Cricetulus griseus: one gene and its partner. The protein of the gene in region 1 purifies or fractionates together with the protein of each later gene. This does not show direct contact. Links are inferred from orthologs where the notes say so. Each region holds a gene or a part of one and is shown in the gene's direction. Other genes may lie near its edges.

Region 1 (4,457 bases):
CAGCGGCTGCTTCCATGGAGTTTCACTGTGAGGGTTTACCAAGCGGTGTGAGACTCTAGTGGGTACACTCTGGGTAAGTGCACAAATTTACTACAGGAGTGGGGTGCATTTCACTCCTGGCTCTCTTTGTGTAACACACACCACACATTCAAAACGTTTCCCAAAAAGTATCCCCTGAATGGCCAGAGGTCAAAGCCAGTGGGCAGCAAGACAAAAAGAGGGGAGCTTCGTAAAGCTTCTATTAACCGGATGTTTTAGACTGGGCTGTCCTGGGAGTGCGTCTAGTCCTATTCTGGAGTCTGCCCTTTGCTCTCCCCCTGCTGTGTGTGCCCAGCAAGCAGAGGAGGATAGGAGGAGCTCATTATACAAACAAACCCAAATAGCAGGGCAGAAGAGTGTAGATTGGTAGTCTCTGGGTCAAAAAATGCTGGGCACTGTCCTGGAGTTAGTGGAGCTGGTTTCCATCAGAAGATTAGGATTCAAATCGGTGGGTTTGTTGTAGGCACGTCCTATAAGGGCATCTTCTCTCCCACTGGCCAGATCTGCTGCGAACAACCACAGCCCCCTCCCCATAGAGAGTCTGGACCTAGGTGGGAGGGCAAGCTAGAGGCCACCAGGGGCTACAGAGGAGCCCCACCCCCGGTCTGCACCAGGTATCCTCACATCTCCCTACTGGCCAATACACAGAGCACTGGCCCTTTCCTACCTCCCCACCCTATCCGACCACTGCTCTGCGCATCTGTGTCTGAGACGGAGGAAGGGACCCGCATTAGGTGTCAAAGACCAGCAGCAAATGTCCCCCTGATCACGTAGTATCTTTATTTTTTTTTTCCTAGGTGGGTGGGAGAAACAGAAGTAGCCAGGCCCAGCGAGCCGCTCCGGGGAGGGGGGGGGCACTCTCGTAGACACAAGGCGAGGTGGCTCTCCCGGGAGGGCTGCGCGGTGGGGGGGGGGGCTGGCGCACGCCCCCCAAGCCCTGCAAGCCCACGAGCCCCGCATGACATCAGAGGCAGGGGAGCTCGCAGAGCGCAGGCGGGCGGAGCAGGCGGGCGGGAGGGGGCGCGTGGCGCTGCTCGGAGAGCGCTCCTCCGCCCAGCTCGGTCCCTGCGCCCCGCTCCACCCGCCTAGCTGCCCGCGCCGAGCCTCGGGCGTCCACAGCGCGACTGTCGCCCGTGCAGCCAGCGCCGCCCTCGGCTGCGCCGCGCACCCTGCCTCCTCCCTTTCCGCCGTCGCCGCCGTCGGACACGCAGCCGCAGGCCGGGGCCGGGCCGCAGCTGGGGAGTCAGGGGCGCGCGCAGCCAACCCTTCCCCCTCCGGCTCCCGCACCGCCCGCCGCCTCCCCTCGCCCTCCTACTCTCCCCTCCCTGCTCCTTCGCCGCTTCCTCCTCCTCCTCCTCCTCCTCCTCCTCCTCCTCCTCTCCGGGCCCCAGCTGCCAGCACCATGTCCGCAGGGGGAGATTTTGGGAACCCGCTGCGAAAATTCAAGTTGGTGTTCCTGGGGGAGCAGAGCGGTGAGTACTCGGCTTATTCTCTCGGCTCGGAACCGAGTCTTTTCCCCACGCCGCCCATTCAGTCACCCCACTGGGGACCCTCCCAGTCCCGGCTCGCCAAGGCCCTTCCACGCCCGAGCGGAGGAGGAAAGAGATGTAGATGGGGATATGGGGCCGGCTCGGGTGGGGCCAGGCTGGGGAGGACCCGGGGTAAAGGATGGAGGCGCTCCGGGGTCAGGGGATGAGGGTGAGGATGGGAACTGGATAGGGGTACCCTGTGCAGGTGCGTTCGGGAGGACCGAGGGCGGCGGCTGGCTCGCTTGGTGGCTCTGGGCGCCGGGCTCGCGGGCTCGCTGACTAGCTCGCACTGCGGCACCGGCTGCAGAGCACGGTGCAGGTGTCTGGGTGCCGGCAAGGGTGTGGGCGAAGGGACAGAAGCCTCTCTTGGGAGAATGAGGTGGGGCTGGGGACTAGATGCCTCCACCCCATAAGGTTGCGCCCGAGGGGTTCCCTGTGGACCCTTCCCGGAACCAGGGAAAGGACATCTAGCCCTGGAGCAGATGGCCGCTGAGGAATGGAGCACACGACACCTGTCCCTTTTTGAAAAGAGTAGGTGCAGTTGGTAGGGGAACAGAGCACTTAGCTCCCCTGGCTTACATTTGACTGGGCAGAAGGTTCTAGACCCACTGTCCTTAGCTAATGCATTAGCCTCTTTGGGGCTCAGGGGTGTGGACCATGAGAGTGAAGATTCTCTCTATAGCAGGTGACTTGGGGGATGGTACAGAGGCATCTCATATCAAGGAGCTTGGCATTGGGCAGAGAAAGGCCTAAGCGACACGCCCTGCCTGGCTTCCCTGCCCCCTCCAGAGAGCATCAGTGAAGCCGGTGGATTCTCCCACCCCCATCTCCCAGCTCACCGCCCTTCCTGGGGGAGGGGAGGTCACCGTGACAGCCAGCCAGAGCCGAAGGAGGGAGAGACTGAAGGTTTCTTTGCTGCCCAGGAGTCTCCCCACCCCAAGTATATGAAACCCAGGTTGGTCCAAGGTGGGAAACCCAGACTGTAGAGCAGCGACCTCTCTGATACCTGTAAGAAGGTGTGGCTCCATGAGAACCTCGATCCTGGAGCCTCATCACCAGGGGGTTACAGAGACAAGCTGGGCTCTGAGCATTTCTGCTGGAGGAGAAGGGGATCCCCAGGGGGCGGGATCTCCAGCTCTAGCTCTGTAAACCAGTCCTGTTAGCTGGTTTGGAGGCCAGGAGAAGGAAGGCTGTGGGAGGACCTAGTGGGCTCAGGCACAGTGCAGCTATGACGTGTGCTGTGGTGGTCACATGGCCACCTTCTGTCTGTTGATGCTCAGTACCTGAGATGGAGGTTTGGGATGAGGATGGAAAAAGTGTTTACCTGTCCTAAGACATTCCAGATTGAGACCAGCCCAGCTAGGTAGTCAGCTGGGGCTGATTTCCTGTCCTTTGTAGAGCCCAGTGTCACAGAGGACATCTCCGTTCCCTGCTGTGTGGAAAGGATTTGGGTGCACCTCAGCCCTAAGAGGGAACCTGCAGGTGGACAGCATCCTTGAGGTGGAAGTCTCAATGTGTTGTCTTTTGCCTAATTTGAGACCTCTGGGACACTCAGTTTCTGTCTCTGAAAAGTGGGTGGCTTGAAGGAGCCCTTGTGCCTCATGTTTTCCCCAGTGCCTGGACTATGCTAGAGTCTCAAAGAATATTTGTTTATTCCGAGTCTGAACACGGTTCCATAAAGAATCATATGCGGTGAGTTTGAATGAAAATTCTGGGCTCCCTTACAAGCAGTGCTGATGGGTGGGAACCCCTGCGGAGACTTCTTCCAATCCCCTCCAAGTCTGAAGTCCCAAAAATGAGAGTCAACCTTTATACCCATGCTTGTGTGGAAAGGGAGCTCCAGGGAATGGGGCGGGCTTGCCAGGAGGCCCATTGTGAGTTGTGAACACTTTGGAAGCAGGAATCCACTTTCCTTTTCCAGTCTGCCATTCCTCACTAGCATGTCACTGGGAAATAAGATGACCTTCAATGGGGGAAGCTGCACCCGGAACCTCTTTGAGGGGGAATATGGGCTCAGGGATAGTTGGTTTGGGTGACCTGGTGGGAATGCTGGGCTAGTTGGTTGGGGTAGGGTTCATGGGCCCTTGGTACCTGGTCCATCAGTGAGATTGACTGCTGGCCACCTTGGCGCCTTCTGGAAGACAGTCCAAAGCCCCTGACACAGTTAGTTCTGTCATTCGTGAGTTTCCCTCAGGTTTACAGAGCTTTTGGTATCTGTGAGCTGCAGAGGTTATGTGTATCCCCAAGGATTGCTGCCGTTGTAAGCCCTTAACTCTGCACAGTTTTGCATGCTAGCATCCTCTGCAGCCTGTGCTGTGAAGGCAGGCTTCTGGGGTCTGATCCAACCCCTACCCTAGCTCTCCCTTCTTCTGTGATCAAGGAGGCCCCTTGCCCTCTATACCAGGGCACTTGAGGCAGCAAAATTCAGAAGCATAAGCTTGCCTGTCTGAGCTGAGTCTGCTGGTGGTGGGGGAGGAAGGACACGGGCCTCCTGATCTCTGTTCCTGGTATTGCGGTGGTTATCCCTCTAGGTCCACTCAGGGATAACCTGAGTGGGCAGAGGTGGCTGGACTCCAAAGATGAGTGGCAGGCTTGGAGCAGGGTAAGGAAGAAAAAAACCCTGGGGCAGATATCACAGGTAGGCATGAGGCCTTCAAAGGTATCAAGGAACTGGTTCAAATAGGAAGCCTTTGAGTGTCCCCTCTCTGGAACATACCTCCAGCCTGGAAGAGAGCTTGACAGCGGAGTGCATGGTATCATGTGGCCTATGGACTATAGTCTGGCTGGCAGTGCGAGCCCCACATGGGGTAGGATCCTGGGCAGGTGCTGTGGACCTATGGTGAGGTATTTCCTTGAACCAGGGATGTCATGCAGTCCTTCTGGTGCTCA
Region 2 (4,460 bases), on another chromosome or scaffold:
AGTGTCTGCCCGATACTGGTTTACTATGGAACGACTTGAAATCCACAGCAATGGCTCTGTTTCCCATTTCAATGTTTCCCAAGTCACGGGACCCAGCATCTATTCTTTCCACTGTGAGTATGTCAGCAGTCTGAGCAAGAAAGGCAATCTCCTTGTGACCAACGTGCCCTCACTCTGGCAGATGACTCTTCAGGACTTCCAGGTATTAAAGGGGGAATGGGCTCCAAGCTGGTGGCAGTAGGGGGAGGGAAGAAGAGCCCAGAGAATTTCAGTATGGCTTGAGCATGTAGCTGAGAGTTCCATCCTTATGCTGTCTCTGAAGGTCTAGACTGTTCACTGATTCCAGAACCCCAGCCCTTGTTGTCTGTAGAAACTTGTGGTCCCTTCTGATCCATGTCTATGTGTCTCCTAGATCCAGGCCTTCAATGTGACGGGTGAGCAGTTCTCCTATGCTAGCGACTGTGCTGGCTTCTTCTCTCCAGGCATCTGGATGGGGCTGCTCACCACCCTCTTCATGCTTTTCATCTTCACCTATGGCCTGCACATGATACTCAGCCTCAAGACCATGGATCGTTTTGACGACCACAAGGGCCCCACCATCACTTTGACACAGATTGTGTGACCTGTGCCAGAGAGAGATTGAGGGAGTGTTGGTGTCTAGGTTGTCATGTTTGCATCTTGTGGCATAGTGGATAGAAAGTTTTTTTTCTCTTCGATAGCATGAACCCTGCAGTACCCTCAGCCTGTCTTGCTTCCTCTTCAACCTACTGAGGGACTGGCTTCCCTGGGGCTATCCCCCATCTCTACCAACAAAGTGTATATATTCTTCATAGATATTAGACAAATCTTCCAGGCTCCATCATCATGAGGGGAAGGAACATTAATTCTAGGGTTCCCTTTCTCCCTTTCCCCCTTATTTATTCTTGCCCCTCCGCTACTTGCTGTTTATAGTGCTTCTGTGTAATTAATGCTCACTCCCCAAGCTTTATGAATCTTCCAGCAACAGCAATAAACTTGAGGTTCCTTGAGTTTGAGATGTATGGAAAGACTACTTAACTGTCTGTCCAGCTTGGCTGTTGTGTTTTTTGGGTGACATGTTAAGAATGATCTGTACACTGGGGTTTATTTCTGTAGCCTGAGAAAGAAGAGACCTCCACAAGGCTTATTCCCACTAGGATTGTCTGCCAAGAGATGGGGATGGGGGTACTCTTTTTGTTTCCCTTCCTAATAAAATAAAGACGTGTTGTCATATGTGTTGGGCTTCGGCTTTGAGTCACTCATTTCTGCACTTGACAGTAGATTTGTTTTTGACTGAGGGGAAGAAGTGCCCAGGTGTAGTCCTAACAGGTGAGAGGGGAAGGGTGGGAGAGTCTTCATCAAGCTGATTGATACTCTTAACGAGTTAAGGTAGAGGCCCATTATTTCTCCTGGCCTTGGGGAGAGTCCTTACAATGAAAGATACAGGCAACTGCAAATACCACAGGGCCTTGCTGTTTCTCCCAGAGGGGCGGTATGGGATCGCGCCAGGAGGGATGGGACGGGGCGGGGCGCTCTCGGCTCCCGCGCATGGATCTTCGCGGGACGCAGCACCTGCCACGGACCCGCCCCGCCCCGCATTTCTCTGGGCTCGCGAAGATCTGCGTTGCCCCCGAAATTGTACTGGTGCGGAGACTCAGGCGCTGGAAGCCCTTCCAGAAAATAAGCGGGAGAAACGGTGGCATCGCTAGGGTGTGGCAGGGCCCGAGGAGGGAGAGGGACTCTTTGACGCGGCGGAAGGATCTGGAGACGACTGATAGCCGCCATCTTTGGTTCAGTGCGGTGGCAGCGGCGGCGGCGGCAGTGGCTGCTGTGGTGAAGGAGGAGGAGGAGCCGAGCGGGCGTTGGTACCAAGGCCTGACCATGGACGAGGAATACGATGTGATAGTACTGGGGACAGGTCTTACCGTAAGTGTCACCCTAGGCACTCATAGCCCTGTAGCATGCCTTTCCCATCCCCCGCGGTGATGCAGAGCCCTGGTCACCGGTCTCATTCTCCCATCATTGCTTTCCTGGCTCTGGTCCTGGCAAAGCCAACCCCGCTCCCACCCCACTGCCTCACCCTAGGATGTCGACTCGACGGCGCTGCCATCTTCTTGCTTCCCCGTAGAGGACCCTGTTTCAGCCTGTATCCCTGCACCCTAGGACCCCTTCATCGTCCCTATCTGTGTCACCGAGGTGGAAAACTACCCCCCCCCCGGACCGGTTGTGCCCAGCCCCCACCCTTCACCTGCTTAGCATCCTTGATTAGCATCTCTTACCATTTTGTGGTGATCACACTAGGGCATTGAGTATAAAGGTATGGGTATGGGGGCATTCCAAGGGTGGGTTCTCATCCTGCCTTTTTGCCTTTTGAGAGGGGACGGTAATTCAGGGAATGTTCCAGAAGCAGCAGTAGTGGGGGTAGTTACGACATTCCCTCTACCCCAGTCTGGTTTCCCATGGAGATCTCAGGCTGAATATATCCTCTGCCTTTGTCCTTGGGCTAGTGACAGTGATTGGTTGTTGGTTTGCACCCTGAGTCTGGACCGGTAGATAGGGCTGGAGGGTCAGGGGCTCCTGCCTTTGTAGGAGGAGCAGCCCAGGGTGGGGTCTGGGATTTCATTTGAATTGGTTCTTCTCCAGACTCGTTACCTTTTTGTGGGCTCAGAGCAGGCAGATACTTACTTGGCTTGTGGGTACTAGAAGACTGTCCTTGGGTCTGCTGGAAGCTCTGCCTCCCTAAGCCTCATTTAATGCTCTGGCATTTCACCGTCTTGCCTAACAGGGTTATAAAGGAAACATCGAATGAAGCCATTTCCCCTCTCTCCAGTTTTAGGTGCTACAAGAGGCAGGGATTTATGTTACAAAATTTATGTCGGGTTTGAGTCAGGGACAAACCAGGGATGCAGGTCAGAAGGCAGATGGGAGTGTAGCTGCAAATGCCACCCCTCCCCCAGGAATGCATCTTGTCTGGCATCATGTCTGTGAATGGAAAGAAGGTGCTGCACATGGACCGGAACCCTTACTATGGGGGTGAGAGCTCTTCCATCACACCCCTGGAAGAGGTAAGGCTTCTTGGACTTGAGCTAAGACCCAGACCCCTTTTTAGTCTCTCACATAGGGGCATGGGGGCAAAGTAGTTCCCAGGTGCTGGGCTGGAGAATGGGAGAGGGATAGGTGGTCCTTGACATTTTTCTTTCTTTCTGTCCTGTTTACAGCTATATAAACGTTTTCAGTTGCTGGAAGGGCCCCCTGAGTCAATGGGCCGGGGCCGAGACTGGAATGTTGACTTGATCCCCAAATTTCTCATGGCCAATGGTGAGGGAGATTAAGAAGATAATGTATATGGTGATTGGTGGGTGGTGGTGATTGGGAAGACCAGAGGGGAGGTTCAAGCTCCAGAATAAGGTCAGTCAGACAACTGAGAGATTTTTGAAGGGAGCTACACTGACATCCCTAATCCTCTCTGGACACAGGTCAGCTGGTAAAGATGCTGCTGTATACAGAAGTGACTCGTTATCTGGACTTCAAGGTGGTTGAGGGCAGCTTTGTATACAAGGGAGGCAAGATCTACAAAGTACCATCCACTGAGACTGAGGCCTTGGCTTCTAGTAAGTATGAGTCTCCTTAGCCAGAGAATAATGGGACAGGAGGAAGCAGACTATTCTCAAGATAGTTAGGCAAAAGGCTCCCATTTGCCTAAGCCTAATCTTAGCTCTATGTAATACCAGAGGCCCCTTGCTTTATAGTACCTTTATTGGAATGTGCTACCCATCCTGGCAAGTTACCAGAAAGGAAGCTCATTGAGGAGGATTTCTTTTTGGCAGAGGGCCTACTTGACCCCCATTGCATCCCCAAGTGGAGCTAGGAGTGCCTCTTCCTACAAATAGGAAAACTAAGGCCAAGAAGGGTGGGGCAGGGTTACATGACTGAGCTCTGGTGGGAGCCAGGACACCAACTTTCCTGGCCTGCTCTGGTGGAAAGAAGAGTTTTATGTCCCAGTAATACAAAAAGAGTCTTTTCAATACCCTTCCTTCAGATCTGATGGGCATGTTTGAAAAACGACGCTTCCGGAAATTCTTGGTGTTTGTGGCAAACTTTGATGAGAATGACCCCAAAACCTTTGAGGGTGTCGACCCCCAGACCACCAGCATGCGTGATGTCTACAGGAAGTTTGATCTGGGCCAAGATGTCATTGATTTCACTGGCCATGCCTTGGCGCTCTACCGCACTGATGAGTGAGGGGAAAGCTGGCTGGTGGCAGGAGCCCCTTTGTCTGCCTCACACTTTATCCTCCCCACACCTGCCTATTGTATCCACTGCCCACCCTGCATATCTCTTGTACTTGTCTATAAGTTCACCTGTTGCATTTCCATCCCTCTCTTCCATTTGACTCATATCTTTGCCAGGTCACAAAGGGTGGTGGGAAGGCGGATGGTGTC

What was found.
Region 2: the proteins of Rab6b (region 1) and Gdi1 purify together in Homo sapiens (co-immunoprecipitation; 3 studies listed by BioGRID and IntAct, counting the BioPlex papers as one, with this or other methods). This does not show direct contact. The link is inferred for Cricetulus griseus from reciprocal best matches to the Homo sapiens genes RAB6B and GDI1.

Annotation. Positions count from the first base shown.
Region 1 is NC_048597.1:211,359,123-211,363,579, forward strand, and holds the start of Rab6b (ras-related protein Rab-6B), read left to right. Parts: upstream 1-1,441; coding exon 1,442-1,511; intron 1,512-4,457. UniProt on the Homo sapiens protein: The small GTPases Rab are key regulators of intracellular membrane trafficking, from the formation of transport vesicles to their fusion with membranes. Rabs cycle between active GTP-bound and inactive GDP-bound states.
Region 2 is NC_048604.1:1,416,333-1,420,792, reverse strand, and holds the start of Gdi1 (rab GDP dissociation inhibitor alpha), read left to right. Parts: upstream 1-1,638; 5' UTR 1,639-1,899; coding exon 1,900-1,944; intron 1,945-2,103; exon of another isoform or gene 2,104-2,335; intron 2,336-2,975; coding exon 2,976-3,083; intron 3,084-3,236; coding exon 3,237-3,336; intron 3,337-3,494; coding exon 3,495-3,629; intron 3,630-4,057; coding exon 4,058-4,256; intron 4,257-4,460. Other genes in the region: Atp6ap1 (V-type proton ATPase subunit S1), read left to right, coding at 1-202, 413-622. UniProt on the Homo sapiens protein: Regulates the GDP/GTP exchange reaction of most Rab proteins by inhibiting the dissociation of GDP from them, and the subsequent binding of GTP to them. Promotes the dissociation of GDP-bound Rab proteins from the membrane and inhibits their activation.